Regions from separate parts of the Mus musculus genome. Here regions 1 and 2 are each reported to be linked to region 3. Evidence: microRNA targets listed by miRTarBase, many of them from high-throughput screens and not tested one by one. Region 3 holds a microRNA gene; each other region holds the end of a gene's coding sequence.

The links. Region 3 holds the annotated microRNA mmu-miR-669a-3-3p (ACAUAACAUACACACACAUGUAU, at 2,163-2,185, shown strand). A microRNA usually pairs through its seed, bases 2 to 8, with sites in the 3' UTR of a target mRNA and lowers its output. Matches are read on the target gene's strand: a 7mer-m8 pairs with bases 2 to 8, a 7mer-A1 pairs with bases 2 to 7 and ends in A, and an 8mer does both.
Region 1: the mRNA of Zfp37 is a reported target of mmu-miR-669a-3-3p. Seed matches in the 3' UTR shown: 7mer-m8 at 4,795-4,801.
Region 2: the mRNA of 2610002M06Rik is a reported target of mmu-miR-669a-3-3p. Seed matches in the 3' UTR shown: 7mer-m8 at 1,509-1,515.

Annotation. Positions count from the first base shown.
Region 1 is chr4:62,184,282-62,195,016 of GRCm38, reverse strand. It overlaps Zfp37 (zinc finger protein 37), which reads left to right. Exons shown (of 4, transcript NM_001290351.1): 4 at 2,328-5,480. The coding sequence ends at 3,853. Among named protein-coding and RNA genes, the nearest start is that of Zfp37, 19 kb to the left of the region's middle.
Region 2 is chrX:107,785,374-107,795,235 of GRCm38, forward strand. 2610002M06Rik (RIKEN cDNA 2610002M06 gene) reads right to left here. Exons shown (of 8, transcript NM_025921.3): 3 at 8,135-8,281; 4 at 7,720-7,788; 5 at 7,526-7,633; 6 at 5,363-5,406; 7 at 2,893-2,965; 8 at 1-2,480. The coding sequence ends at 2,436. It also overlaps a transcript of Tent5d not described here. Among named protein-coding and RNA genes, the nearest start is that of 2610002M06Rik, 26 kb to the right of the region's middle.
Region 3 is chr2:10,472,334-10,483,068 of GRCm38, forward strand. It overlaps Mir669a-3 (microRNA 669a-3), which reads left to right and starts at 2,100; the gene lies at 2,100-2,208. The region is part of intron 10 of Sfmbt2 (Scm-like with four mbt domains 2); the gene reads left to right. It overlaps Mir467c (microRNA 467c), which reads left to right and starts at 1,598; the gene lies at 1,598-1,694. Mir466b-1 (microRNA 466b-1) reads left to right here and starts at 1,886; the gene lies at 1,886-1,967. It also overlaps Mir669k, Mir467a-1, Mir466b-8, Mir297a-2, Mir466o and Mir669a-1, and 8 more genes.

The DNA of each region.
Region 1 (10,735 bases), not on the chromosome of region 3:
AGAAGACTCCACCCTAGGTTGGCTATCCTGTGGTAGACAAGGTCTGATTCAGCCCGCTCAAAGCTTGGGGAAGGGCATATCACAATACCCATTAACCCAGTAAAACAAAACTCTAGAAGCATATAATTAACCAGTCAGATTTATATGTCAATACATTATCAATTCACAAGATGGCCACACAATAGTTGATAATGAGCCAATTGATAATGAACAAGCTGCCCACCTAGATTAGACAAGTTATCCCAATTATTCTATCATCTTATTATATTCATAGCTTCCTGTAGCTATTTAAAGCCATACAGAATCTAGATTGTCTTCTTCCTGCTCCATCTTTCTTCCTCTCCCTACCTATCTCCTCTGGCTCCATCTCTGCAACTCTTCACTCCACCTCCCTTTTCCATGTTCAATCACAGGCTTTTTGTTGTATTAATAATTAAAGTGATTGGACACGGAAAATTCTGCTACAAATATGTGCACACATATACAAGTGAACATGTATACACACAGGCAAAGATTGTTTTAATCTTACATGTCAAGAGAATAAGTGTAAGCCTTGACCACTTTGAGAAGGAAATTTGTCCCTGTCTTCCCCATCATCACTGCGTATCAGAAGACTTTGTGTGCTGTGCTACCTGGAGGGCCCTGTTTATCTCTTTATCACAGGGTGCTGAATCTCTTGAGTCCTTGGATGAAATAGCAGCTAACAGTTCAGCTTTTCTGGACTCCCCCTTACCCTACTATATCTAATTTCCACCCCTCGTCTGCCTCTGAGTGTTTCTCTCTGTCTGTATATGTGTCTCCTGTCTCTGTCCTTTCTGTGTCTGTTTCTGTCTGTCTGCATCTCTGTCACTCTGTCTCTCTCTTATTTTTCTAACATGAATTTCTATTATGTAGCTCCGACTGGTCTGGAACTCATAGAGATCTGCCTGCCTCTGCCTTGTGAGTGCTGGGATTAAAGATGTGTGCCACAATAGCCTACCCCAAATCACGGTCTCTTAAATGTCCTCCATAAAGGAGAGAATTTCATTCATCCATTCAGATACCCTTATTTTCTCCATATAAAATTATTTTATCACTGAGGTGGCTATTCACTCTTTCATCTGTTTCTCTCTTTAAATGTTTAAAATTCTTAAGTCAGATGATTTCCCTATTTTATTTCTATGCAGAGAGCTATTACTGAGTAGTCTTAGAGAAGATCAATGTTTTAAGATGTATAGTTGTGCAATGTGTAGGGAAAAGAACATAAGCAAGTACTTAGAGCCATAAATAAACTTGGACTTGGCCATCAAGTATTGGAATGGTGACAGGATCAAAGGCATGTACTCCACAGGTCACTGGAAAAACAGGTAAATGCTCACTGTAAATGCAGATGGTGTAAAGCATTTCCCAAGCTAATTGCTAGGAGTTTCATGACTTTGTAAAATAGTTAGGGAACTTAGAGGAACTACAGAGTCATCTATTGTTTAGTAAGAATGTCCTTGTTATGTTGCTTGTGGAAGAGAGGGAGGAACAGCCTCCCCTGCTTAGAGCCACAGTCACCCACTAGTTCCTCAGTTCTCCTTGGTAGATGTATTCTCTGTTTTAGTTTATTTTAGCGAGCCTTAGTAAAAAGAGAGGGGTTTATCGAAGAGCTCATGAGTACCCTTCTTATAAGCCAAGGGAAGAGACTTTAGCCAAACTCCACCAGGAACAAAAACTGGCAACCTGGAAGTCACAAGGGCATTGGAGTTATGCACACTATGCTCTTGAGAACAAATAGTCCTACATTTCTGCTTCTTTCTGTGTGTGGGTGTTTTATTCTTTGTATTGAAGAGGTTTTCACTACATAGGATAAGTATGGCTTTTGTAGTACTTACATCATATCATCTTAATCACAATGGGAAGACTAGTAATGCCTTGTTATGTAGCCCAGACTGATCTCAAACATATGAAAGAGTATCTTGTTTCAGCCTCCTGAGTACTGGGATTAATAGGCATGTGCCACCGCACCTGGCATAATCACAAATTTTTTTTTAATTTAATGCATTGCCTGTTCAGTATTCCTTGTGTCTATTTACCTTCTATCCAAGGTTACAAAATCTTATTTCTAAGCAACCAACTCATTTCCTAATGACTACTTCAGTGGTCTTTCCCCTGGTTTTACTATCGCTTTCTTCCCATCAGGTCCAAGTGGATAGTGACATTTGTTCTTGTTGCTTATTTTACATTGCTAGTTAGGGTTGAGTAAGTTTTCAACCCCAGACAAGGAGGGCATCTCTTTAAGAAACGTATAAAGTACTTGAGTGGGAGTGCAGAAACTCACAAGAATGTCTCTAATTCTGTTTTAGAACTCCAACAAGATGATGAGCATAGGGAGGAAAAGCAGAAGTCCCAAAGCAAACTTACTAAGGAAGTGACACTCAGGAAGAAAAGTTCCAACAGCAAGAAAAGCAGTGAGTATGGTTTGTTGGAGAACAAAAGTCTCCACTCAAAACACACTCCTTCCGAGAAAAAACTGCTTAAGTCCAGTTCCCGTGGGAAGAACTCGAATCAGAATTCAGACTCTCTGAAAAAGAAACCTGACACAGCTAATGACCACAGGAAATCACTCAGCCATTCTGCATCTGATGTGAACAAAGATGAAATTCCAACTAGAAAGAAATGCGACAAGTTACCCAACAATAAGTTGTCTGATAAAGGTGACAAAAACCAAACCAGCAAAAAATGTGAGAAAGTATGCCGTCATAGTGCATCCCATACCAAGGAAGACAAAATTCAGACCGGGGAGAAACGGAAATCACACTGCCGTACTCCATCTAAACCTGAAAAAGCCCCAGGTTCTGGGAAACCTTATGAATGTAACCACTGTGGGAAGGTCCTCAGCCATAAACAGGGACTCCTTGACCATCAAAGAACTCACACTGGGGAGAAACCATATGAATGTAATGAATGTGGGATAGCTTTCAGCCAGAAGTCCCACCTTGTTGTACATCAGAGAACTCACACTGGGGAAAAACCATACGAGTGTGAACAGTGTGGCAAAGCACACGGACATAAACATGCCCTCACTGACCATCTAAGAATCCATACTGGAGAAAAGCCCTACAAATGTAATGAATGTGGCAAAACGTTTAGACACAGCTCAAACCTTATGCAACACCTAAGATCTCACACGGGTGAGAAGCCGTATGAATGTAAGGAATGTGGCAAATCCTTTAGATATAATTCATCTCTTACTGAACATGTGAGAACACACACAGGTGAAATACCATACGAATGTAACGAATGTGGCAAAGCTTTCAAGTATGGCTCATCCCTGACTAAACATATGCGGATTCATACAGGGGAGAAACCATTTGAATGTAATGAATGTGGGAAAACTTTTAGCAAAAAGTCACACCTAGTTATACATCAAAGAACTCATACAAAGGAGAAACCTTATAAATGTGATGAGTGTGGGAAAGCCTTTGGACATAGCTCATCTCTTACCTACCATATGAGAACTCATACAGGTGACTGCCCCTTTGAATGTAATCAATGTGGTAAGGCCTTTAAACAGATTGAAGGCCTTACCCAACACCAGAGAGTTCACACAGGGGAGAAACCCTATGAGTGTGTTGAATGTGGGAAAGCCTTTAGTCAGAAGTCACACCTCATCGTACACCAGAGAACTCATACAGGGGAGAAACCCTTTGAATGTTATGAGTGTGGAAAAGCCTTCAATGCAAAATCACAACTTGTTATTCATCAGAGATCCCACACTGGAGAGAAACCCTATGAATGTATTGAATGTGGTAAAGCCTTCAAGCAAAATGCCTCTCTTACCAAACATATGAAAATTCACTCAGAAGAACAATCTGAGGAAGAAGATTAATGTAGGAAACCTGACAACTGACTGGTTTGGTATTATTTAACCTTAAAGATGTTCTCAATTTGATGATGTTAGAATATCTTTTTTTAGGAAATCATTCCTGGTGATACATGAGAGAATTTGAATATGGATCTTTACATAAGATGGTAATAAAATTTAACCTTGATCCCAAACCTAAACAGAAAATACTGTATTTTTACACTTATTATAAATTGTCTCCATATTTAGATTAAAATACGAATCTTTTAAAAGAGTGAATAAGGAGATATCATAATCAGTAAAGTGCTTGTTAAGCAAGTACAGAGATCTGAATTCCATCCCTAAGGATTGATAAAAAGCTAGATGTGGGGGCATGCTCTTGCAATCTCACAATTGGGAAAGTTGAGACAGGAGAGTCCTGAGAACTCCTGACCAACCAGACTTATTTAATTTGCAAGCCATAGGTCACAAGAAAAAAGAACTGTTTTAAAAATAGGGTAGAGGGTTCCTGAGAAACAGTACTCAAGGTTGACACATGTACACACACAGACACACACAGACACACAGACACACACACAGACACACACACAGACACACACAGATACACACACACACACACACAGACACACACACACAGACACACACACAGTTGTGAAAATGTTAACGAATTAGAGCAACAAACAGTAAAATATGACACTTCATGAACTTTCTAGGTGTGTGCTTAAGCTCCACAGTTAGTATTTAATTTGTATTTATTCTTATTGCATACTTACCGCCTTGTGTAAAATACAAGTGAGGGTGAGGGTATCCTCTGGTATTGTCTAGCTTTCTTTGTTAATGTCTCTGTTAGCTTCTGAATTAGTAGAAAACTTTCGGGAGTTGTTTTGTTTTGTTTGAGACAATATCTCACCATATAGTCCTGGCTAGCCTGGAACTTGTTACGTGTACCAGGCTGGCCTTGAACTTGTTATGTAGACCAGGCTGACCTTGAACTCACAGAGATATGTCTGTCTCTGCCTCCCAAGTGCTAGATTTAAAGACTTCAGTAGAAAACTTTAAGGGGTTTTGTCTAGATTTTGTTAAGAGGTTCATAAAAAAGTGGAAAACAGCTGAAAATGTGTTGATAGTGAGTGATACTTGTTATATTGTTAAGTATAGAAAATGGATTGTTAAACCATCTATATAGTATGTTCTCATTGTGGACAGAGTGTGTATGTGTGTCCCTGTACTCTGTGTACATATATATGTGTTTATCCCCATATATTTGTATATGAATAGACTTTTTTTTAACCTATAAGAAAATTAATGGTGGCTTCCACTGAACACAAGAGTGCAGCATTGAGGTCTGACATGTTTATCATGTACATGTGTCTAATTCAAATATGTATTATATAAAAATACATTCATATGTGCAAATTAACACAATTTAAAACAATAGCTGAGTCTATTTCACAGTGTTATTTGAAAAAGTGACATAAGATTTCTATGCTCCTTTATGAACAATGAATTTAAGACATATGGCATTGAACCTTGATATTGAATTCACAAAGAATTTCCTATAGAGCACAGATTTTTGTTAACATGAGTCATAACTGTTAACAATATTTTATTTCTCTTATTTGCTATTAAAAACTAAAGATGAATGAAAGTGAAAGTGGTATTTTATTTTATATTCAGAATGCTAATTCACAAATGTCTTAGTCAAGAATTTCGGCTGTATTTCAACAAATGCCTCCACACCCCATTCTTGCCCAGTAGCAGATATTGTTGCTGGATCCCTTGCTCAGCTTCTCACAGAGTCTGCTTCAGAATGCTTGTTGGGAAAGCATTCCAGAAGGTAGTGTACATCAGTTTGACTTTTTCCAAGAGACCTGTCTGCCATTGCAAACTGTGTTAGCTAGGTTCTATTGCTGATAAGACACCATGACTAAAATCAACTTGGAGATGAGGAAGGGTTTATTTCATCTTGTAGCTTAGAGTTCATCCTCCAGGGAGGGCAAGGCAGGAACTGAAGGCAGGAACTTAGAGGTAAGAGGTTGTAAAGGAGTACTGCTTACTGGATTGCTTCTCAGAGCATGTTCAGCCTCCTTTATCATTAGGACTATCAGCCCAGGGTGGCAACTCCAATGGTGAGTGGGGTAGCACTTTTAAGTTGTTCTAATTGTTTTACATTGTTTTCTTTTATGTCAGTGATCTGTGTCTTAGTTGGGGTTTCATTGTTTTGAAGACATACCATGATCAAGCTAGCTCTTATAAAGGAAAGCAGTTCATTGGGGCTTGTTGTGAATGGGCCTGGTCCTGTTTGTATGTTAATTCTGCTTTCCTGGGAGGGGTTGTGGACAAGAAGTGAGTCATTCTCAAATGACTTCTTGTGGACCAATCTCCTAATGAATAAAGGAGCCAATCACTGGGCAGGTAGGCAGGACTTCTAGGTTGGAAGAGGGGAAGCAGGAGAGAGTTACAGCCCTTTTGGAATGGGAATAGCATATGGGTATGATGTAGCTGCTAGAGTTTTCTGGTACCATGGCAGATCTGCAAGGTTTGGACACTAGGGGAATCAGATTTTAATAAGGCTTACAAGATTAGGTTTTAGTTGTTGCATCCAGAGATTGAGTTACCATTGTTTATGAAATTACTTTGTGTTTTCCTTCACATGGCGGCTTGTCTGGATTCAAGAGAGAAAAAGGTACAGTGGCAAAGGATGGGTTTGCCAGATGTGCACTATAAACGCCATGGGAGATTTGAAGCAAGGGGTTGAGGTGGTAATGATGTATGTCAGCAGGTACCTAGCAAGCTGTCTCTTCTGTCTCCGACCAGCAGAAAAGAGCGACGACACAGCGTTCTTCTCAAAGTAGTTTATTCAGGAACCTTTCAACATGCAAGCAGGAATCTCTCACTAGCCCCCAATCGCAATCCCCTATATAACCTCTCAACCACGCCCCATCAGCCCAGCCCGAGTAATCTCAGTTCATTGGCCTTTGTTAAATGGCCTGATCTTGCATCATAGTGTGCCTGCACAGCTCTCAAGATGGATGTGGCTTATTTTCGGGTGTATGAGGAAGTCAGGTGCAAGTCATAAGACTTGGATGCAGTCCTGGGTGCCATCTTGGGACTACCATCACACCCACTCCCCACAGCAAGCTGGGTGGAAAGACTGTGGAGTTCTGAGTCAGAATCTTCATGAGATAAAAACAGGTCAGCCATTGCCTGCCAGTGCATGTCCAGCCAGACCTCTGGTACAGAAACACAAGTGTGGGAATGTACGGGATCTATTTTTTTTTTCTTTTTTAATATTTTCCACAACAGGAGCTGGCTTACAGTTTTAGAGGTTTAGTCCATTATCATCATGGTAGGAAACAAGGCAGTGTGCAGGCAGACATGGTACTGGAAATGTTGAGAGTTCTATCTCTTGATCCAAAGGCAGCCAGGAAGAGACTGTCTTCTTCAGGCATCCAGGAGGGGACTCCCATCCACACTGGGGTGGAACTTGAGCATAGGACCTCAAAACCCACTCCTACGGTGATGATTTTTCCCAACATGGTCAAACATCCTAATAGTGTCACTTCCCATGGGCAAATCATATTCAAACCATCACAATCTACAATCCACTCTTCTCTGAAAAAAAGTTCAAAACAAAAAAACCACACCTGGGCTGGGTGTGGGGAACGATGCCAGACAATGCCAGCCTGGACAAAATGGCTGGCCAAGGAGACCTAAAGCAATTTTCACTAAGTTCAGCTGCTTAAAGGGTTTTCTTTGTCACCTACTCATATTTAACCAAAATCTGAGCACAGCTTAGTGGTCATAATGTTTTATTGATACTAATAAAGTCATTGCAGGCAGTGCTTTTCTTCTGATGAACTGTGAATGGTTTAGGACTCATAGGGGTGTCTGTGTGACAAATTCTGATGTTCGGGGTCATTAACAATATTGCTTAAAAACAAAGAGGCCTTGAAAAAGTCATGATGAAGGATTAAGAACCTGGGGTTTATTTGAGTTTATTTGAGCAATTCCTGGGAATTAAATAAGACAAATGTAGACAACTGTCAATTCAATGGATCAAAAATAGATAAAAAATAAAAACCATCTTGAATTCTTCCATAAATTAGAAGAGAGAATACTTCCAAAGTCATTGCCTAAGGAAGCATCACTGATACCAAGTGGAGACAAAGATTCAGTGCCATAAAAACAAAAACAAACAAAGCCTCTGGGCTGACAAGGTGGCTCAGCAGGTGATGTGCTTCCACAGGTGGAGGAGGGCATCACCTCCCTGGAGCTGTTTCCTGACCTGCATAGGCTTTGGCATATCCACCCCTCACACACCATGCACATGTGCATATTACATTTTAAGGAACGGGATTATGATGATCCTAGGAAGAATTTGGTATGCAAACAAATCCACATAAAAGAGAAAAAATACTACACAGATGATTGGGGGTTTGTAATAAAGACACAGTGGTTTCTGGCTATGAAGATGGGAAGTATATTGTTAGTGAGCTAAGAATGTTGACAGAAATGAAGGTAACCTGGGAGACACAAGCAATTTTACTTTTCTCCATAATGAATTTAAAGCAATTTAAGTTGAAATGGAATAGTCTACTGGAGAAAGAATTTAGAGAGAAGTATTGTGATAAGATAAAAAGGAGATCTGTGGGCTGGAAAACTGGAAATTAATGATGTGGGGAAAATTATAAAAAATATATATTACAGTACCTGGATTCTTTAAGAGAGAGCAAACAGATAGAAAATACACCTGTGATGGCTATTCTTGCTTGTTAACTTGACTACATCTGGTATCAAATAAAACCCAAACAGATCGGTACACCTGCGGAGGAATTTTTTCTCAATTAAATCTTTTGAAGTGGTAAGATTCACTTTTAATCCTGATCTTTTAAGGAGGAAAGATATACCTTTAGTCCAGGCCATACATTCTGGTGCTAGCCTATATAAAGGATATGGAATAAGGAAGCTTGCTCTCTCTTTGCTGCTTGTTCTTGCAGACAAGTCTATTCCTTCAGTGGCATTATAGCCTACTTCTTCAGGATTCCCGTGTATACTAAAGACCAGCTGAGATGTCCCAGTCTCATGAACTGAACAACTACTTGATTCTGGGAGCTTCCACTCATGGACAGCCATTGTTGGATTAGCTGGACCACAGCCTGTAAACCGTTCTAATAACTCTCTCTCTCTCTCTCTCTCTCTCTCTCTCTCTCTCTCTCTCCCTTCCTCCTTCCCTTTCTTTCCCCCCTTTTTCATTCTATAAATTCTGTCCTCAAAACCCAGCCAGTACTCATCCTCTGCTGGCACAGTATTAACAGTTGAATAATATAAGGCAACCTTCACACAGTGCATTCCAACAGAAATCAATCCTTTATAGTCTACTAAAGCAGCAGTAACTCCCTGAAGGAGACAATGGTAAGACAATACTGATGTTCCCCAGGGCACACCAATGGGCTTCCAGACATATAAAGGCTAAGTAGACTTTTAGTGGGGAGGTAGAAAGTATAGTCCATGAGGAAGGGGTGCTAATGAGTTTGTTAATTCATTGAAGTAGAACTCTGGGGGTATATGTGTGTGAATGGATTTTAATGGTGGGATACTTGTAGAAGGAACATAAAACTGGATCAGGCTGAGTTTATTGATCCAGTGGAGACTCTTGGTTTAACATGGAATTGCAAACAGTTAAAAAATAAGATGTCAGGGGGAGGGTGTGGGGGACTTTTGGGATAGCATTGGAAATGTAATTGAGGAAAATACATAATAAAAAAATAAGATGTCAAATGTTTGTTTGAACATTGGCTGAAGGCCAGAAGATCATCATTTGTCAGAAGATGGCCTACTGAAAAGGTGCTGGTGATGCCTGATATCCCTTGGCTTAGTGTTGATGAAGGGATTTTAAGGCTCAGGCAAATTGCAGTGCTAGAGTGGGTGCAATATGTAAAACTTAATACTCAACAATGGGAAGGACCAGAAGACATGCCCTTCATAAGTCCTATAAGATGCAAAATGATGAAAGGGCACCAGCAAATTTGAAGAGCTTTGTTGTTGCCTTTTCCTTGTGCTAGACTTTAAGGGTGGAGCTGCTGCGGCTCAGTTGGATGAGGAACACACTCAATTGGGCCCCAAGGTAGCATAGGACAGGTGTCAACACTGAATTGACAAGGGCAAGGTTATCCTAATGGTTGACATAGAGAAAGCAATGTCCATACTAGTGTGATCTGGAATGGTCAGCACAAAGTGATTTTTATGGTATTTTATTTTTATGATTGAACTTTGAATTTTTATTTCATATGAACTTTGATACTAGCTAAACAATCATGGTGCTTTCAGGCATAAACTAGATAGGCACTTCAGAGGATGAGAAATAAATCCAACCAAAATTCAAGGGTCTTGTACCTCAATGAAATTCCTAGGAATCCAGAGGTGTGTGGTATTACTTTAAGACATTCATTCTAAGGTAAATTATAAGCTATGGCATCTGGCCCCTTCAAAGGTCAAGAAAGAAGCACAGTATTTAGTGGCTTACTTGGATTCTGGAGGTAGCACATTCCCCACTTGTATGCTCTACTCTAGCTCATATACCAAGTGACTTGAAAAGTTGCTAACTTTGGGCCCAGAAGGGAACAAAAGAAGGCTCTTGAGTAGGTCCAGGTTGCTCTACCACTTGGACCATACAATGCAATAGACCCAATGTTACTTGAGGTGTCAGTGGCAGATAGGGATGATTTTTGGAGCCATTAGGAGGCCCCTGTAGGTGAATCACAGATGAGACTTTAGAGCAAGGTCCTAACATCATCTGCTGAAAATTATTCTCCCTTTAAGAGAGAGCTCTTGGCTTGCTGTTGGACCTTAGTGGAAACTGAACATTTGACAATGGGCCAGAAAGTTACCCTGTGGATTGGGCTG
Region 2 (9,862 bases), not on the chromosome of region 3:
TAACTTTACAGCCCTGATAGTAATATTTTAAAAGGTAAGTCTGACATGGTTGCAACATAAAAGAATGAACAGCTAGTTGTGGAGCTAAGTGGTAGTAATAAATCTAACAATTTTTTATTCAAGTTAAAAGAACAGAAACTATTTAATTCATACCAACAGAGAACACATTCTTTATGTCATAAATACTTTTGTCCATCAAATCTCTTCTATGGATATCTAGGGTATCCCAATACAAACTTTGGATTAATGTTGCAGAATTTTCCTAGTTATATAATAAATTGTCCATTAAAAGGTCTTAAAAATTAATGAACAGTCATCATTAAATTACTGGCTAAAAACTATAATGATTTAAACTTTACAGTGGATTAAAACCAAGTAAATATTTACTCTGTTTCTCTTTACATAATGTTCTGAATTGAATGAGTCTCCTATAGGCTCACATATTTGAAACTTTGTTCACCAGTTGGGAAGGTTATGGTACAGGTCATTGTACAAACTCTGTTGGAGGAATTATTCCACCAGCAACAGGCATTGGGAGTGTCTTGCCACACTTCCAGCTGGCTCTTTCTGCGTCATGTGTACAGCATAATAGAAAGCATGATTTCTTGGCTTCCTGATCCTGCTACCATGCATCCCTGCCATGGTGCACACTTTCTTATCCCTCTGGAACTGTAAGCCAAAATAAACTCTTCTATTTATAAATTGCTTCTGGTCATGGTGCTTAATCGCAGCAACAGAGAAGTAACTAACGTAGAAGATGTTACTAGAGAGTGAGCTATTAAATCAGGCAGCAAAGCTGGAGGAGTTAAGCCATCCAAACCCTCGGAAAGTAGTCCCAGACATCCCACATAGAGCTACAGGATTTGCTTATATGTATGCCTTGTGAGCTTTCAGTCTCTCTGTAGTCCAGTATTTCCTCATCATGTCCCCCTTCCTCCCTTCTAAAATGATAATGTGTAACCTGTGCCATCGTATGTTGGAAGTATATTATTTGCTTTTAGATCTTATCAGTGGCTAGAGATTGTCTCGAGTCTCACAAGATATGCTGGACTTTGAAATTTCAAATAGTATTGAGATTGAGAAAGACCATGGGCACTTTAAGCATCAGAGTAAATACATTTTGCATTATGATATGGCCATAAGTCTATGGAAGCCAGGGAGAGGAATGCAGTGGTCTGAACGAGACATTTTTCCATAGACTCATGTACTTGAATAATTGTTTCCCAGTTGGTGGTGCCTTATGGAGAAGGTATGGAGATATGCAACCTTACTAAATGAAGTATGTCACTGGCTTTGAGAGCTTCTAGGTCTGTTACACTGGCAGCCTGTTCTTTCTGCTTTGTGTGTGTCATTAAACATGTACCAGCTACCTGCTCTTGCTGCCACACCTCCCCACCATGATGGAGCCCTCATTTCCCTGGAACCATAAACCAAAATACTTTCTTTCTTCCATAAGTCACTTTTGAGCACGGTTATTTATCATAGAAACAGAAAAAATAACTAATGTGCATAACAACCCCCACCCCCAAATCATAGAAAATGAGCTGGGTATGGTGGTATATACTTAGAGACCAATGCTGGAGGCTCACTGAGTTTCAGGGAACTCTGGGCTATATATTTCTGCCCTGTCTCTAAAATAAACAAGCAAAACAACAACAGCAACGAAACAAAACAGAGGCTAGACACATGGCTCAGGAGTTAAGAGCACTGGCTGGTCTTCTAGAAGAAATGGGTTTGAATTCTAGTATCCACATGTTGGCTCCCAATTGTCTATAGCTCTAGTTCCTGGGGAATCCAATGTCCTCTTCTGGCCTCTGTAGGCACCAGACACACAAGTGAGTACACAATTTAACATGCAGGCAAAACAACCATACATACAAAATAGAAATAATTTTCAAAAATCCCATGGAAATTGTATAGTCTATCTTGTGATACTTAAAATAAGATGGTCTGGGTTATGCGAACATATTAAATGAACATGCTTTCCTGTTTTTATTTTTACAAAATCAAAATTCATCACAGACAATAATTGAAAGTTACTTTCAATAAGTAAAAACAAAGCCTTTATACATTATTCTGACAAAATTACTTTACTTAGCATTACTTTGGTGCTAGATGTTTGCTCTAATATTTGCGGAAGATGTATAATATACAGAAAACTAATGCTAGCTTTGCCAAAGACATCTAGAAAAATATGTCCCTCACACTTTTACACACAATATATAGAACTATAAAATCTGCCAATGTGGAAATTCCTTGGAATTTCGCAATGCACTGTGAAATACACAAGGCAAAAGAAAGCATCTTATAGAAATGATGTCCAAACATCCTGTCATGTATGATGTTTTTGTAACTGGAATACACCTTATCTATAGACACACACACAAATGATGGCTCAGAAATATGTGGAGGAACAGAAGCACCAGTTATTTAAGTTACACTTGATCACGAAGACGAGCAAGCCTCTGTGACAGTTCATCCTAGGGGAAGCCAAATTTACAAATTATCAAAGGCTGTAACAAATATTAGCCACAAAATTTTAATCCTCTTCCATTGTAAATAGAATTTAAAAGCTTATGAAATTTATATAAATGTTAGGCAATTAGTTTTTTAAATATCTCAAAAGAAACTGCATTTAGAGCAGTATGAAGGTTAGCAAAACAATGTAAGAAATGAAATGTGCATGCAAATTGAAAATGCCCACCATTACAGAGCTAATGGTTTCTCATATTTTCTTCATTTATAATGATGTATCATGGTAGAAAAATATTCTTCATAAAAATGTGAATATGTTTTCTTGTATGCAAATATATTGCATATAAATATACATTTTCTAAATTTTAATTTAAATATAAATCAGGTACATGAATTAAAATAAAATTCGATCTCTACCTGCTCTGTAGAAGCAACACTTGCACCAACAGACCCTGTCTGACCCTGTGGTAGTTCCATATTGAGATCGAGGCTGAATAAAGACAAAATTAAAAATAATCAGAATCAAAGAATGTTAATATAGACATTTTACAATGATCATATAGGCACTGTAAACGAGAGCACTATAACCTTTTATTTTAAGTACAAATCAAAGCATGTTTACATGTAAATAGAACTTGAATGTCTTCAGAATCATTTTGAACATGTGACTGGTGGTTTTAAGTACTTTCCTTGAGCTACAGAAGCTTTAGGAGCCAGATTAGTTCAGTGTTCCGTTCCTGAATTCTCTTAGTAGAACCAATAATTTCTCTTTTTTGATGAAAAAAATTTAGATTTTTTTCATTCTATTTATTTTTTATTTAGTTTCATTATTTTTAAATCCAAAGCATAATTTTCCGTTTATCGAAAATAGATTCCTCTTTCTTACAGTATATCTTGATTATAGTTTTCCCTCCGAGTTCTTCCCCACCTTTTCTCCCCTCTCTGGATCTACTCCCTTTCTGTCTCTCATTAGAAAATAATCGGCTTCTAAGACTTAAAAAGTAAATATAACCAAATAATCTATAGTAAAGTGAAGCATGAACCATCACATGGAGGTTGGACAAGGCAACCCAGCAGAAGGAAAGGAGCCACAAGATCAGGCAGAAGTATCAGAGACCCGCTTTTTTATTCACTCGAAAGTCCTATAACAATACTAAGCTGAAAGCTGAAACATATATCCTCAGGACCTGGTGCAGACTGCGTAGGTCTTATGCTTGCTGCTTCACCCTTTGTGAGCTCATATGAGCCTTGCTCAGTTGATTCAGGGGACCTTGAAGAACCAAGGATTTCATCCAACTACACAATGTTTTTTTTTTCTGTTTCTGCATATTATTTATTTATTTTTATTACGTATTTTCCTCAATTACATTTCCAATGCTATCCCAAAAGTCCCCCAACCCCCCATTCCCCTACCCACCCATTCCCCCTTTTTGGCCCTGGCGTTCCCCTGTACTGGGGCATATAAAGTTTGCCTGTCCAATGGGCCTCTCTTTCCAGTGATGGCCGCCTAGGCCATCTTTTGATACATATGCAGCTAGAGTCAAGAGCTCCGGGGTACTGATAAGTGGACATTAGCCCAGAAACTTAGTATAGCGAGATATAAGGTACAATTTGCAAAACACATGAAACTGAAGAAGAACGAAGACCAAAGTGTGGACACTTTGCCCCTTCTTAGAATTGGAAATAATGACCCATGGACGGAGTTACAGAGACAAAGTTTGGAGCTGAGACAAAAGGATGGACCATCAAGAGACTGCCATATCCAGGGATCCATCCCATAATGAGCTTCCAAATGCTGACACCATTGCATGCACTAGCAAGCATTTGTTGCAAGGACCGTGATATAGCTGTCTCTTGTGAGACTAGGCTGGGGCCTAGCAAACACAGAAGTGGATGCTCACAGTCAACTATTGGATGGATCACAGGGCCCCCAATGGAGGAGCTAGAGAAAGTACCCAAGGAGATAAAGGGATCTACAACCCTGTGGGTTTTTTTTTAAAGAATTAATGCAGGTGTCCCAAGTTCCTATCACCCCAGTGAATGAGATAGCACATGTGTAGATCTAGGGCTGTTGTTTGTTTACCTGTAAGCTTCATGACCTTAATCTCTATTGTACTATTCTTCTAGGATATAAACTATTTTTCTATTTGTCTCGAAAATAATGTATTCTAACAGGAAAACTATACAAATAAAACAGTAATTTTAAATGGCATTAAGGGATGCTATTGGCAGATTTTTTTTGAAAGGCAAACATACCCTATACTAAAATTTCATTATGAGAATTGTTAACTCAAGCAACTAGATATCTAAAAGTCCTTAATACTGGAAATTAATGTTTCTGTATCAGTTGTTCTACCTGCTTCTCTTGCTTCAGTTACTGATTAATTAATTTCTCAATACTGGTCTCATTTTCCCAAGAAACAGCTAGCAATATCTAAACACATATATAGCTGTCACAACTGGGAGAAATGGTGCTATGGCCTTACCTCTGGACCATCTCCAAGTATTTCATAACATCAACCGCTGACTGAATCTAGCTCCAGAGGCTTGCTGGAGTTGATGTCATTATGGTTTGAAAATTCACATTTGTGTGTGTGTGTGTGTGTGTGTGTGTGTGTGTGTGGCTAGAAAAGGGGGGGTAACTGTTAAAAGACCTTGAAACAGTATCTCTATAAAATGTCAAAACTCCAAGCTGGATGAATGGGTTTAAAGACAAATTTTTCACTCCATAGCAAATTTTTAGAAGGACGTATACCTTTTCAGTCCAGGGCTTCACATATACTAGGCAGAAACTCTGAGCAAAATACTAACTTCATATTATCAACATGTAAGACCTCTAAATGTCAAATGCAGATTATTTAAAAGGATTTGAGTGAAAGGACCTTACCCAGCTTCATCTGCCATTTCCTGGAGCAGCATATCCACTTGGTTCTAAAATAAGAAAACATGAATTCATAGTTTTGTAGTATTAGTTGTTGGATGGCTTTTGGGTTTGGTTTTGCTTGGGAAACTTATTTTTAACGTTTAAAATAGGGGCTATAGTAACCATGTCTAGAGGCTCACAATTGCCTTTAACTCCAAAACCTGAGGGAGATAAAGCCTCTGTCCTCTACAGGAACATGTTATCACTAGTACACAGTTCCCTCACTCCCACATAATCAAAAGTAAAATAATAAAACTTTTGTAAAATAAAACAAACAACACATACACACACACACACAAACTTCTTGCCCTTCAAAACTTTTAAAACAATCCTTTAAAAATATTTTAGAGGCCCATTAGTCGTGCAAACTTTATCTGCCTCAGTACAGGGGAACGACAGGGCCAAGAAGTGGGAATGGGTGGGTGGGGGAGTGGATGGGGGAGCGTGTGGGGGACTTTTGGGAGAGCATTGGAAATGTAAATGAAATAAATACCTAATTAAAAAAAAAACAGAAAAAAATATTTTCGCCACAAGGGGGCGCTACACGATTTCAGACAGCAACTTGAATGTTACGCTTTATTTTATTTTATTTTTATGGGAAAAATATTTGTTCAAAACAAATATTAACAAATTATTTTATATTCTAAGCCACAAGGAAATAGCAAAACATCAAAGAGAAGAGAGAAGACAAAAACTGAAGAAAAGCAGTTTACTGTCTTTCACTCTAACTTGATAATAATTAATTGACCAGGCCCTGTCTTGGCCTGTTTCCCCAAGAACCTTTTCTAGTCTATCGTTCCCTCATAATTGTGGGCTAAAATCACATTTCTCCTGAGGGTCAGAGGTTAAAGGTTGCAGATGTGCTTCTCTAGGGCTCTTAGTGGCTGAGGCAGATGTGCAAATGTAAACGTCTGATAAGTTTCTTTACTGAGGGAAACCATTTCTCACTGGCGACAGTGACAGTGGAAGGGGACGGCCCTAGAACATTTAAGCTGTGGTACTTCAAGGGCTGATGCAGGCAGCCTAGTGTGTGCTCCTGGTCCCTTCCTTCCCTAGCTCCAAGTACTGTAAAGTGGTAGGACAAGCTGTCTCTGTTCTTTCGGGAATGTTAAGCTTTAAAGTCTAATACTGAAGTTGTCTGAACAATGCTGCCAGTCAGACTCACATCTCAGTAATGTAATACTGCATGGGAGTGATCCAACTTATAAAGCTCCAGTAGAACCCAGTTTGGTTGTATGTAATAGATTTAAATTAGCTTAATTAGTTATTCTATAAAATAATACAAATCTGGCATTATGTTGACTTTTGACAAAAATATTAACAGACAAAATATACTTATATTATGTATCTATGGCACAGAACCCTATGCGGGTTTAACTGTAGGCTTAGCCAACTGCAAAACATAAACAATCAGAGAAGAAATTGTACCCATAATATAAGACTTTTCTCCTTATTAGCATTTCAACAACTCAGAAAGTGAACTACAGCATTTATATTGTGCTAGGCATTCCTTGTAATTAAAAGGCAATTAATATTGTATGAGATGTATGTATGTTATATGCAGACTCTAGACTAGACTGGAGCAAAAACATCAAATGTTTAAGTATATATGTGGGCACTGAGTTAAACATTAAACAATCTATGTATCAAAATATCATGTTACCCAATATTATGCACCTATTAAATTGTGTTATTAAGATAAGAGTATTAGCCAGCATGTGGAAACAGGTTCTAGATTCTATATATGTGATCTAATAGAATCACCAGAATTCCAAACCATACTCGGTGCTAGGTAACATTATCCTCTAAAACATTCTTAACTATCTGAGGGCAGAGCAGTAGCAAGCTTACCACCTGCACTTGGGCTATGTTTCTCAAGGTAAGGAGATGATTTATGTTCATAAAACCATTATATTTTAAAAGTAGGTGATTTGTGTTTCGACAGTGGTTCCCAGGCTGGCCCAGGCAACCCAGGCTGGCCTGGAATTTACTCCATGGCACAGGCTGGTCTCAACCTCTTAGAAATCTTGCCTCAGCTCCTAAGTACTATGATAGGCAAGCATGTGTCACTATGGCCAGATCGATTCAGCTTTAAGAAACCACTGAAAGTAAAGATGTTACTCTTACCTGTGGTGTCGTAAGGGTAGTAGTGCTACTCATTGTATCTTCCATTTGCTGTGTCTGAACATCCAATGTTTCAAACTGATGTTCAAATTTGTCCATTAAGGCAGAAATCTATAAAGATATGGTCGTTAGAAAAATGTATCCTGAAAAGATGTTAGCGGAACATCAAGTGAGAATGGTACTTCTTTAGAGCTTACCTTCTCAAGGTTCATACTCCTCAATGTAGCATCCATAGATTTAACTACACCTGCCATGGATTTTGTCACCTATGTGGAATTCAAAACCGATTGAGCAACATGTAAACTTGTTAATCTTCAAAGCACACTGCTAATATATCAACTTAGGAAACTTGTCCATAACTTCTTTCACAGTAAAACTACATTATGCATCTTGGTATAGGTAATATTTTATATTATTTATGTTTCCTTAGTAAAAATGGTTGAAAAGTTCACTGACAAAATACTTTTCCTCACTAAATCCAATTTTCTATGAAGTCCTTTATTTACATCCTATAATATCATGCAAAAGACACCGACTTGTGGCTTATGTAAATCTTCTTCTTTTCCTTAAACTCTGTCAGTATTACTTTGATTGACAGATGTTTGGTCTTACCTTGCCCATTGTTACTGCAGTTTGAACTCTGGCTGCCACAGCATCAACCCTAGCACTCATTCTCAAGAAATTGATTGCTTGGTTTTTCTGACGGATTGCATTTTCAGCATGTATTCTTGCAACTTCTGTATTGCCCTTCTGAATGGCCTGTTTTAAACAAGTAAAATAGTGTTGCAGAAAAATAACAAACCAAGATACCAGTGAAGACAAGGAACAAAAGTACAAATATTTTAAAAACGTAAATGATACCATATTACCTCTAGCTTATAAGAGCTTTTAATTAGCTTTTGGATAGCTAATTATGATTAAAATAATAATGGAATAATGTACAATCCTATTTTCTTTTTAATCTCATGATTAGAAAATGCATGTGTATTAAAAGTTTAAGATATTAGAATTTGCTGCACATGGCACATACTTTTAATTCCACAATCAGGAGGCAGAGGCAATCCGACTCTGAATTTGAGACCCACCTTACCTACATATCAAGTTCCTCTGCTACATAGTGAGACCTTGACTAAAAATAAATAAATAAATAAATAAATAAATAAATGAATAAATAAATAAATAAACTAAAAGTTAAAAATTGATCATAGACAGAATTCCCATGCTAATTTCACTATAATTTAGTATAAACTATCCTAGTATTTAAACATATTTTTATATATAAATTACATAGCTTGTACCAAAAGCAGGTGCATAGAATACAGTTTTCTATCTTGTTTTCTCTTGTGTGAAAAAAAAAAATCACCTGAAGTTAAAACAAAGCTACATCATTATTTAAAAAACTACCAATCATACATAAAGTGATTCTAGTTATTACACAGATATTAAGCAGTTTCTGTATGTTTCTACTGTATAAAAATGCTATATGTAACAGGAATCCAGCCTTTTCCTGGTATCATCCATCGCATCAGGGATAACACTAAAAGAAAAACAAATTTATCTACAGAAAAAACATTAAACAAAATGAACAGTTCAGACAGTCCTCTAACACAACAAAGTAGAATAGGTAGTATGGAAGTAAGAGAAATTCAAGAAGGAGATCCCAGTTTTTCAATAAAATAAATAGCAATTTATAACTCGCCTAGTATATGTAACTGCACATCCTTTACAAATGTTTTCATTAAGACAAATATCTACATATTGAATTACTGGATACAGATATACATTCAAAGTTAGCTTGAGCCTCCTGAATAGTTGGGGTTGCAGGCATATACTACAGGTTTGCCTCTCACTCACGCATGCATCTACTGCCTTCCAACAATAACTGCCTCCTTGACTGAAGCATTTCCTACTGGAATATATTCAAGGGATTTGGTTGGTTTGATGCCAGTTTGTTCATTTTAGCTGATTAAAAATTCCTACAAAAGAAACACCTGCACGTGAATATAGAATTAAAGTCGAAAATAATACCTTATATTAAAAAGGCTTTCTCTCAACGCAGTCACTCACTCTCTGAGAGCCTAGCATCTAGCAAATACAATGCAGTACTTTAGGCACTGGGAATTTAGCAGTGAACTCAAAGAAATCCCTGGGTTTTTTCGGAACGTACAATCTAAGCACAGCCTGATAATAAGCAAGATGACTAGAAAATGGTAAAGGTGGCAGGTATATAAAGAGGTGGCACATGCCTTTATTCTAGCACTTGGGAGGCAGAGACAGGGAGGCAGGGCAATTTCTGAGTTCAAGGCCTACCAAGGCTATATAGTGAGACCCTGCTTCGGG
Region 3 (10,735 bases):
ACACAAACCCAAAACTGCCACTCATCGATCTATTTGAATGATATGTGTCTTAGAGTCTTAGAGATTCTGTATGACTGGGCCAGGGAGAGGATTCACTCACCAAGTAAAGACCCTTGCCAGAGTCAAGATAATCAGGAGTTCAAGGTCATGGTAAAGGCATGATGAGTTAGAGGTCATCCTGGCATTCATGTGATTGCCCCTATGTATGTGTGTATGTGTTGATGTGTGTGTACATGTACATGTGTGAATATGATATACATACATGCACACATAAGACACATATGAGCACATAGACACACAGGAATGGCACTCACTCATCAATCTATGTGACTGAGAGCTTTGGAGATTATGTGTGACTAGGTCAGGGAGAGTTATCACCCATCATATTAAAAATGCTTGTTAGAATCAGGAGGTCAGGAGGTCAAATTCATGCTTTATTTCATGATGACTTAGAAATCTGCCTGGGATTCATGTGATGCCCCCATGTATGTGTACATGCGTGTACCTGTGTGTGGATTGTGTATATGAATATACATATCTACACACGCATAGACATGTACACAGACACACAAACATGAATGCAACTCATCGATCCATTTGAATGACGTGTGACTAAGAGTTTTAAGATTCTGCAGTACTGAATAGGGAGAGGTCTCACTCAGCAGGTGAAATCCCTTGCCAGAGTCAGGTGGTCCTGGAGTACAAATTCATGTTTAACTTCATGATGAGTTAGAGTTCAGCATGCGACTCATGTGATGTCCATCAAGAATGTGCATGTGTGTATAGTTGTGTGCATATTCACTTCTCTATATGAATATGCATATACACGCATGCACGCACAGGAATGCCACTCATATATCCTTTTGAATGGTATGTGACTTAGAGCTTTAGAGCTTATGCAGTACTGGGCCAGAGCTATGGCTCAGTTAGGAGGTGAGTACTCTTGCCAGAGTCAGGAGGATGAGGAGTTCAAAATCATATTTAATTCATGATGAGTAGAGATCAGCATGCGATTCATGTGATGCCCTCCAAGAATGTGCATGTGTGTATAGCTGTGTGCATATTCACTTCTCTACATGAATATGCACATAGCTGTATGCACACATACTCACAGGAATGGCCAGAACTATGTCTCAGTTAGGAGGTGAATATTGTTGCCAGAGGGAGGAGAATATGGAGTTCAAATTCATGTTTAACTTCATGATGAGTTAGAGAACAGCCTGGAATTTCTGTGATTGTCCCCGTGTATGTGTATATGTGTATAGGTACGTGTGCATGTAAATGTGGGTATATGAACATGCATATATATATATATATATATATGTGTATATATATATATATATATACATACATACATACACATATACACACACATATGGACACATACATGTGCACACAAACACACATGGTAGTCATCCATTTGATTTATGCATGCTTAGAGTTTCATTGAGTGTATATTCATGGGATAGCAAAACATCTCACTTACCAGATGAAAACTGCTTGCCAGAGTTAGGAGTCTCAGGAGTGCAAATTCATGCTTAACTTCATGAGCAGTTAGAGATCATCCTGGAATAATGTGATGGCCCCTATGCATGTGCCTTTGTGCATAAGTGCGTGCATGTATATGTGTGTATATTTTATGCATATACATACACACACCTATACACACATGCACACAGACATGCGAGAATGGCCCTCACGGATCCATTTGAATGATATGTGACCTACTGCTTTGGAGGTTATGTATGACTGGGCCAGGGTGAGGTCTCACAAACCACGGGAAAACCCTTGGTAGAGTCGGGAAGATCAGGAGTGCAAGTTCATGGTAAAGGCATGATGAGTTAGAGGTCATCCTGGCATTCATGTGATTGCCCCTATGAATGTGTGTATGTGTTGATGTGTGTGTACATGTACATGTGTGAATATGATATACATATACATACACGCACACATAAGACACATATGAGCACACAGACACATGGGAATGGCACTCATCAATCCATTTGAGTGATAAGTGACTTAGAGTGAAAATGCTTGCTAGAGTTAAGAGTATCAGGAGTTCAAATTCATACTTATCCTCATGAGAGATCAGCCTGTGATTCCTCCATGTATGTGCATGTGTGTATAGTTGTGTGTGCATGTTCATGTCTATATTTGAATATACATAACATACACACACATGTATAAACGCAAGCACACATACACAGACACAGGAATGGCATTCGCCAATCCCTTTGAATGATAAGTGATGTAGAGTTTTAGAGATTATGCAATAGGGGACATTGAATGGACTCACTCACCAGGTGTAAAAGATTGACAAAGTCAGGAGGATAAGGATTGCAACTTCATGCTTAACTTCATTTGGAGATTATCTTGGTATTCATGTGATGCCACCCATGTATGTGCATGTGTGCTTACTTGTATGTGCATTGCATGTGTTGACATGAATATACATAACAAAAACACACGTGTATATGCAAGCACATACACACAGGAAAAATTGCATTCATTTATACATTTGAATGATATGTGACTTAAAGTTTTCAAGATTATGCAGTAGTGGGACAGTGAATGGTTTTACTCACCAGGTGTGAAAGACTGTGGATCAGGAGTTCAAATTCATGCTTTACTTCATGATGACTTAGAGATATGCCTGGGATTCATGTGATGCCCCCTATGTATCCCTATCTGTATCTGTTTCTATTGTGTGTGGATTTGAGTATATGGCTGTACCTATCTACACAAATATATACATGTACACAGACACAAACAGAAACACACACACAAACATCAGTGCAACTCATCGATCCATTTGAATGACGTGTGACTTAGAGTTTTAAGATTCCTCAGTACTGAATGGGGAGAGGTCTCACTCAGCAGGAGAAATCCCTTGACAGAGTCAGTTGGATCAGGAGTTCAAATTTGTGCTGAATTTCATGATGAGTTCATGACCAGCATGGGATTCATCTTATGCCCACCAAAAATGTGCATGTGTGTATAGTTGTGTGCATATTCACTTCTCTATATGAATATGCATATACACGCATGCAAACACATTCATAGGAATGGCCAGAGCTATATCTCAGTTAGGAGGTGAGCACTCTTGCCAGAGCTAGGAAGATGAGGAGTTCAAATTCATGTTTAACTTCTTGATGTGTTAGAGTTCAGCATGCGATTCATGTGATACCCACCAAGATTTTGCATGTGTGTATAGTTGTGTACATATTTACTTCTGTACATAAATATGCATATACTCACATGCAAACATACTCCCACGAATGATCCGAGCTATGACTCAGTTAGGAGGTGAATACTCTTGCCAGCATCATGAGGATGAGCAGTTCAAATTCATGTTTAACTTTTTGGTGAGTTAGAGATCAGCCCGGAATTCATGTTATTTTCCCTGTGTATGCGTTTATGTGTAAAGGGAAGTGTGCCTGTACATGCGGGTATATGAACATGCATATATATAAACACACCTAGGGACACATACATGTGCACACAAACACACATGGCAGTCATCCATTTGATTTATACGTGCTTAGAGTTTCATTGAGTGTATATTCATGGTATAGGGAAACATCTCATTTATCAGATGAAAACTGCTTGCCAGAGTTAGGAGTCTCAGGAGTTCAAATTCATGCTTAACTTCATGATGAATTAGAGATCACCCTGGATTTGTGGGATGGACCCTAGGTATGTACATGCCCATATATTGTGTGTGCACGTACATGTGTATATATGATCATACATATAAATACACACACATACAAATGTATTCACACACACAGGCATGCACACTCACACACATAAGAATGACACTCATTGATCCATTTGAATGATATATGTCTTAAAATTTTGCTGATTATAAAGTAGAGGGACAGTGAATATTCTCACTCACCAGGTGTAAACAATTGTCAGTGTCAGGAGGATCAGGAGTTCAATTTCATGCTTAACTTCATGAGCAGTTAGAGATCATCCTGGAATAATGTGATGGCCCCTATGTACGTGCCTGTGTGCGTAAGTGCCTGCATGTATATGCGTGTATATTTTATGCATATACATACACACACCTACACACACATGCACACAGACATGCGGGAATAGCCCTCACGGTCCATTTGAATGATATGTGACCTACTGCTTTGGAGGTTATGTATGACTGGGCCAGGGTGAGGTCTCACAAACCACAGGAAACCCTTGGTAGAGTCGGGAAGATCAGGAGTGCAAGTTCGTGGTAAAGGCATGATGAGTTAGAGGTCATCCTGGCATTCATGTGATTGCCCCTATGTATGTGTGTATGTGTTGATGTGTGTGTACATGTACATATGTGAATATGATATACATATACATACACGCACACATAAGACACATATGAGCACACAGACACATGGGAATGGCACTCATCAATCCATTTGAGTGATAAGTGACTTAGAGTGAAAATGCTTGCTAGAGTTAAGAGTATCAGGAGTTCAAATTCATACTTATCCTCATGAGAGATCAGCTTGTGATTCCTCCATGTATGTGCATGTGTGTATAGTTGTGTGTGCATGTTCATGTCTATATTTGAATATACATAACATACACACACACGTATAAACGCAAGCACACATACACAGACACAGGAATGGCATTCGCCAATCCCTTTGAATGATAAGTGATGTAGAGTTTTAGAGATTATGCAATAGGGGGCATTGAATGGCCTCACTCACCAGGTGTAAAAGATTGACAAAGTCAGGAGGATAAGGATTGCAAATTCATGCTTAACTTCATTTGGAGACATCTTGGTATTAATGTCATGCAACCCATTTATGTGCATGTGTGCTTACTTGTATGTGCATTGTATGTGTTGACATGATATACATAACATAAACACACGTGTATCTGCAAGCACACACACACAGGAAAAATTGCATTCATTTATACGTTTGAATGATATGTGACTTAAAGTTTTCAAGATTATGCAGTAGTGGGACAGTGAATGGTTTTACTCACCAGGTGTGAAAGATTGTGGATCAGGAGTTCAAATGCATGCTTTACTACATGATGACTTAGAGATATGCCTGGGATTCATGTGATGCCCCCTATGTATCCCTATCTGTATCTGTTTCTATTGTGTGTGGATTTGAGTATATGGATGTACCTATCTACACAAATATATACATGTACACAGACACAAACAGAAACACACACACAAACATCAGTGCAACTCATCGATCCATTTGAATGACGTGTGACTTAGAGTTTTAAGATTCCTCAGTACTGAATGGGGAGAGGTCTCACTCAGCAGGTGAAATCCCTTGACAGAGTCAGTTGGATCAGGAGTTCAAATTCGTGCTGAATTTCATGATGAGTTCATGACCAGCATGGGATTCATCTTATGCCCACCAAAAATGTGCATGTGTGTATAGTTGTGTGCATATTCACTTCTCTATATGAATATGCATATACACACATGCACACACATTCATAGGAATGGCCAGAGCTATGTCTCAGTTAGGAGGTGAGCACTCTTGCCAGTGTCAGGAGGATGAGGAGTTCAAAATCATGTTTAACTTCATGATGAGTTAGAGTTCAGCATGCGATTCATGTGATGTCCACCAAGAATGTGCATGTGTGTATAGTTGTGTACATATTCACTTTTGTATATGAATATGCATATACTCACATGCAAACATACTCCCACGAATGGCCCGAGCTATGACTCAGTTAGGAGGTGAATACTCTTGCCAGCATCATGAGGATGAGCAGTTCAAATTCATGTTTAACTTTTTGATGAGTTAGAGATCAGCCCGGAATTCATGAGATTTTCCCTGTGTTTGTGTTTATGTGTATAGGGAAGTATGCCTGTACATGCACGTATATGAACATGCATATATATATATATATATATATATATATACATACATATATATATATATACACACACACACAACTAGGGACACATACATGTGCACACAAACACACATGGCAGTCATCCATTTGATTTATACGTGCTTAGAGTTTCATTGAGTTTATATTCATGGTATAGGGAAAAATCTCACTTATCAAATGAAAACTGTTTGCCAGAGTTAGGAGTCTCAGGAGGTCAAATTCATGCTTAACTTCATGATGAGTTAGAGATCACCCTGGATTTGTGGGATCGACCCTAGTTATGTACATTTGCATATAATTGTGTGTGCACGTACATGTGTATATATGATCATCCCTGTAAATACACACACATACAAATGTATTCACACATACAGGCATGCACACTCACACACATAAGAATGACACTCATTGATCCATTTGAATGATATATGTCTTAGAATTTTGCTGATTATAAAGTAGAGGGACAGTGAATATTCTCTCTCACCAGGTGTAAACAATTGGCAGTGTCAGGAAGATCAGGAGTTCAATTTTATGCTTAACTTCATGAGCAGTTAGAGATCATCCTGGAATAATGTGATGGCCCCTATGTATGTGCCTGTGTGCGTAAGTGCCTGCATGTATATGCGTGTATATTTTATGCATATACATACACACACCTACACACACATGCACACAGACATGCGGGAATGGCACTCACGGATCCATTTGAATGATATGTGACCTACTGCTTTGGAGGTTATGTATGACTGGGCCAGGGTGAGGTCTCACAAACCACGGGAAACCCTTGGTAGAGTCGGGAAGATCAGGAGTGCAAGTTCATGGTAAAGGCATGATGTGTTAGAGGTCATCCTGGCATTCATGTGATTGCCCCTATGTATGTGTGTATGTGTTGATGTGTGTGTACATGTACATATGTGAATATGATATACATATACATACACGCACACATAAGACACATATGAGCACACAGACACATGGGAATGGCACTCATCAATCCATTTGAGTGATAAGTGACTTAGAGTGAAAATGCTTGCTAGAGTTAAGGGTATCAGGAGTTCAAATTCATACTTATCCTCATGAGAGATCAGCCTGTGATTCCTCCATGTATGTGCATGTGTGTATAGTTGTGTGTGCATGTTCATGTCTATATTTGAATATACATAACATACACACACACGTATAAACGCAAGCACACATACACAGACACAGGAATGGCATTCGCCAATCCCTTTGAATGATAAGTGATGTAGAGTTTTAGCGATTATGCAATAGGGGACATTGAATGGTCTCACCCACCAGGTGTAAAAGATTGACAAAGTCAGGAGGATAAGGATTGCAAATTCATGCTTAATTCAGTTAGAGATCATCCTGGTATTCATGTGAGGCCACCCATGTATGTGCATGTGTGTTTACTTGTATATGCATTGCCTCTGTTGACATGATATACAAAATATAAACACACGTGTATATGCAAGTACAGACACAGAGAAAAAAATTGCATTCATTTATACGTTTGAATGATATGTGACTTAAAGTTTTAGATTATGCAGTTTGGGACAGTGAATGGTTTTACTCACCAGGTGTGAAAGATTGTGGATCAGGAGTTCAAATTCATGCTTTACTTCATGATGACTTTAAGATATGCCTGGGATTCATGTGATGCCCCTATGTATCCCTATCTGTATCTGTTTCTATTGTGTGTGGATTTGAGTATATGGATGTACCTATCTACACAAATATATACATGTACACAGACACAAACAGAAACACACACACAAACATCAGTGCAACTCATCGATCCATTTGAATGACGTGTGACTTAGAGTTTTAAGATTCCTCAGTACTGAATGGGGAGAGGTCTCACTCAGCAGGTGAAATCCCTTGACAGAGTCAGGTGGATCAGGAGTTCAAATTTGTGCTGAATTTCATGATGAGTTCATGACCAGCATGGGATTCATCTTATGCCCATCAAAAATTTGCATGTGTGTATAGTTGTGTGCATATTCACTTCTCTATATGAATATGCATATACACACATGCACACACATTCATAGGAATGGCCAGAGCTATGTCTCAGTTAGGAGGTGAGTACTCTTGCCAGTGTCAGGAGGATGAGGAATTCAAATTTATGTTTAACTTCATGATGAGTTAGAGTTCAGTATGCGATTCATGTGATGCCCACCAAGAATGTGCATGTGTGTATAGTTGTGTATATATTCACTTCTGTATATGAATATGCATATACTCACATGCAAACATATTCCCACGAATGGCCCGAGCTATGACTCAGTTAGGAGGTGAATACTCTTGCCAGCATCATGAGGATGAGTAGTTCAAATTCATGTTTAACTTTATGATGAGTTAGAGATCAGCCCGGAATTCATGTGATTTTCCCTGTGTTTGTGTTTATGTGTATAGGGAAGTATGCCTGTACATGCGCGTATATGAACATGCATATATATATATGTATATATATGTATATATGTATACACACACACACACACAACTAGGGACACATACATGTGCACACAAACACACATGGCAGTCATCCATTTGATTTATGCGTGCTTTGAGTTTCATTGAGTGTATATTCATGGTATAGGGAAAAATCTCACTTATCAAATGAAAACCACTTGCCAGAGTTAGGAGTCTCAGGAGTTCAAATTCATGCTTAACTTCATAATGAGTTAGAGATCACCCTGTATTTGTGTGATGGATCCTAGGTATGCAAAAGTGCATATAATTGTGTGTGCACGTACATGTGTGTATATGATCATACATATAAATACACACACATATAAAATGTATTCACACACACAGGCATGCACACTCACACACATAAGAATGACACTCATTGATCCATTTGAATGATATATGTCTTAGAATTTTGCTGATTATAAAGTAGAGGGATAGTGAAGGTCTCACTCACCAGGTGTAAACAATTGGCAGTGTCAGGAGGATCAGGAGTTCAATTTCATGCTTAACTTCATGAGCAGTTAGAGATCATCCTGGAATAATGTGATGGCCCCTTTGTATGTGCCCGTGTGCGTAAGTGCCTGCATGTATATGCGTGTATATTTTATGCATATACATACACACACCAACACACACATGCACACAGACATGCGGGAATGTCCCTCACGGATCCATTTGAATGATATGTGACCTACTGCTTTGGAGGTTATGTATGACTGGGCCAGGGTGAGGTCTCACAAACCACGGGAAAACCCTTGATAGAGTCAGGAAGATCAGGAGTGCAAGTTCATGGTAAAGGCATGATGAGTTAGAGGTCATCCTGGCATTCATGTGATTGCCCCTATGTATGTGTATATGTGTTGATGTGTGTGTGCATGTACATATGTGAATATGATATACATATACATACACGCACACATAAGACACATATGAGCACACAGACACAGGGGAATGGCACTCATCAATCCATTTGAGTGATAAGTGACTTAGAGTGAAAATGCTTGCTAGAGTTAAGAGTATCAGGAGTTCAAATTTACACTTATCCTCATGAGAGATCAGCCTGTGATTCCTCCATGTATGTGCATGTGTGTATAGTTGTGTGTGCATGTTCATGTCTATATTTGAATATACATAACATACACACACACGTATAAACGCAAGCACACATACACAGACACAGGAATGGCATTCGCCAATCCCTTAGAATGATAAGTGATGTAGAGTTTTAGAGATTATGCAATAGGGGACATTGAATGACCTCACCCACCAGGTGTAAAAGATTGACAAAGTCAGGAGGATAAGGATTGCAAATTCATGCTTAATTCAGTTAGAGGTCATCCTGGTATTCATATGAGGCCACCCATGTATGTGCATGTGTGTTTACTTGTATATGCATTGCCTCTGTTGACATGATATTCAAAATATAAACACACGTGTATATGCAAGTACAGACACAGAGAAAAAAATTGCATTCATTTATACGTTTGAATGATATGTGACTTAAAGTTTTAGATTATGCAGTTTGGGACAGTGAATGGTTTTACTCACCAGGTGTGACAGATTGTGGATCAGGAGTTCAAATTCATGCTTTACTTCATGATGACTTTAAGATATGCCTGGGATTCATGTGATGCCCCCTATGTATCTCTATCTGTATCTGTTTCTATTGTGTGTGGATTTGAGTATATGGATGTACCTATCTACACAAATATATACATGTACACAGACACAAACAGAAACACACACACAAACATCAGTGCAACTCATCGATCCATTTGAATGACGTGTGACTTAGAGTTTTAAGATTCCTCAGTACTGAATGGGGAGAGGTCTCACTCAGCAGGTGAAGTCCCTTCACAGAGTCAGGTTGATCAGGAGTTCAAATTTGTGCTGAATTTCATGATGAGTTCATGACCAGCATGGGATTCATCTTATGCCCACCAAAAATTTGCATGTGTGTATAGTTGTGTGCATATTCACTTCTCTATATGAATATGCATATACACACATGCACACACATTCATAGGAATGGCCAGAGCTATGTCTCAGTTAGGAGGTGAGTACTCTTGCCAGTGTCAGGAGGATGAGGAATTCAAATTTATGTTTAACTTCATGATGAGTTAGAGTTCAGTATGCGATTCATGTGATGCCCACCAGAATGTGCATGTGTGTATAGTTGTGTACATATTCACTTCTGTATATGAATATGCATATACTCACATGCAAACATACTCCCTCGAATGGCCTGAGCTATGACACAGTTAGGAGGTGAATACTCTTGCCAGCATCATGAGGATGAGTAGTTCAAATTCATGTTTAACTTTATGATGAGTTAGAGATCAGCCCGGAATTCATGTGATTTTCCCTGTGTTTGTGTTTATGTGTA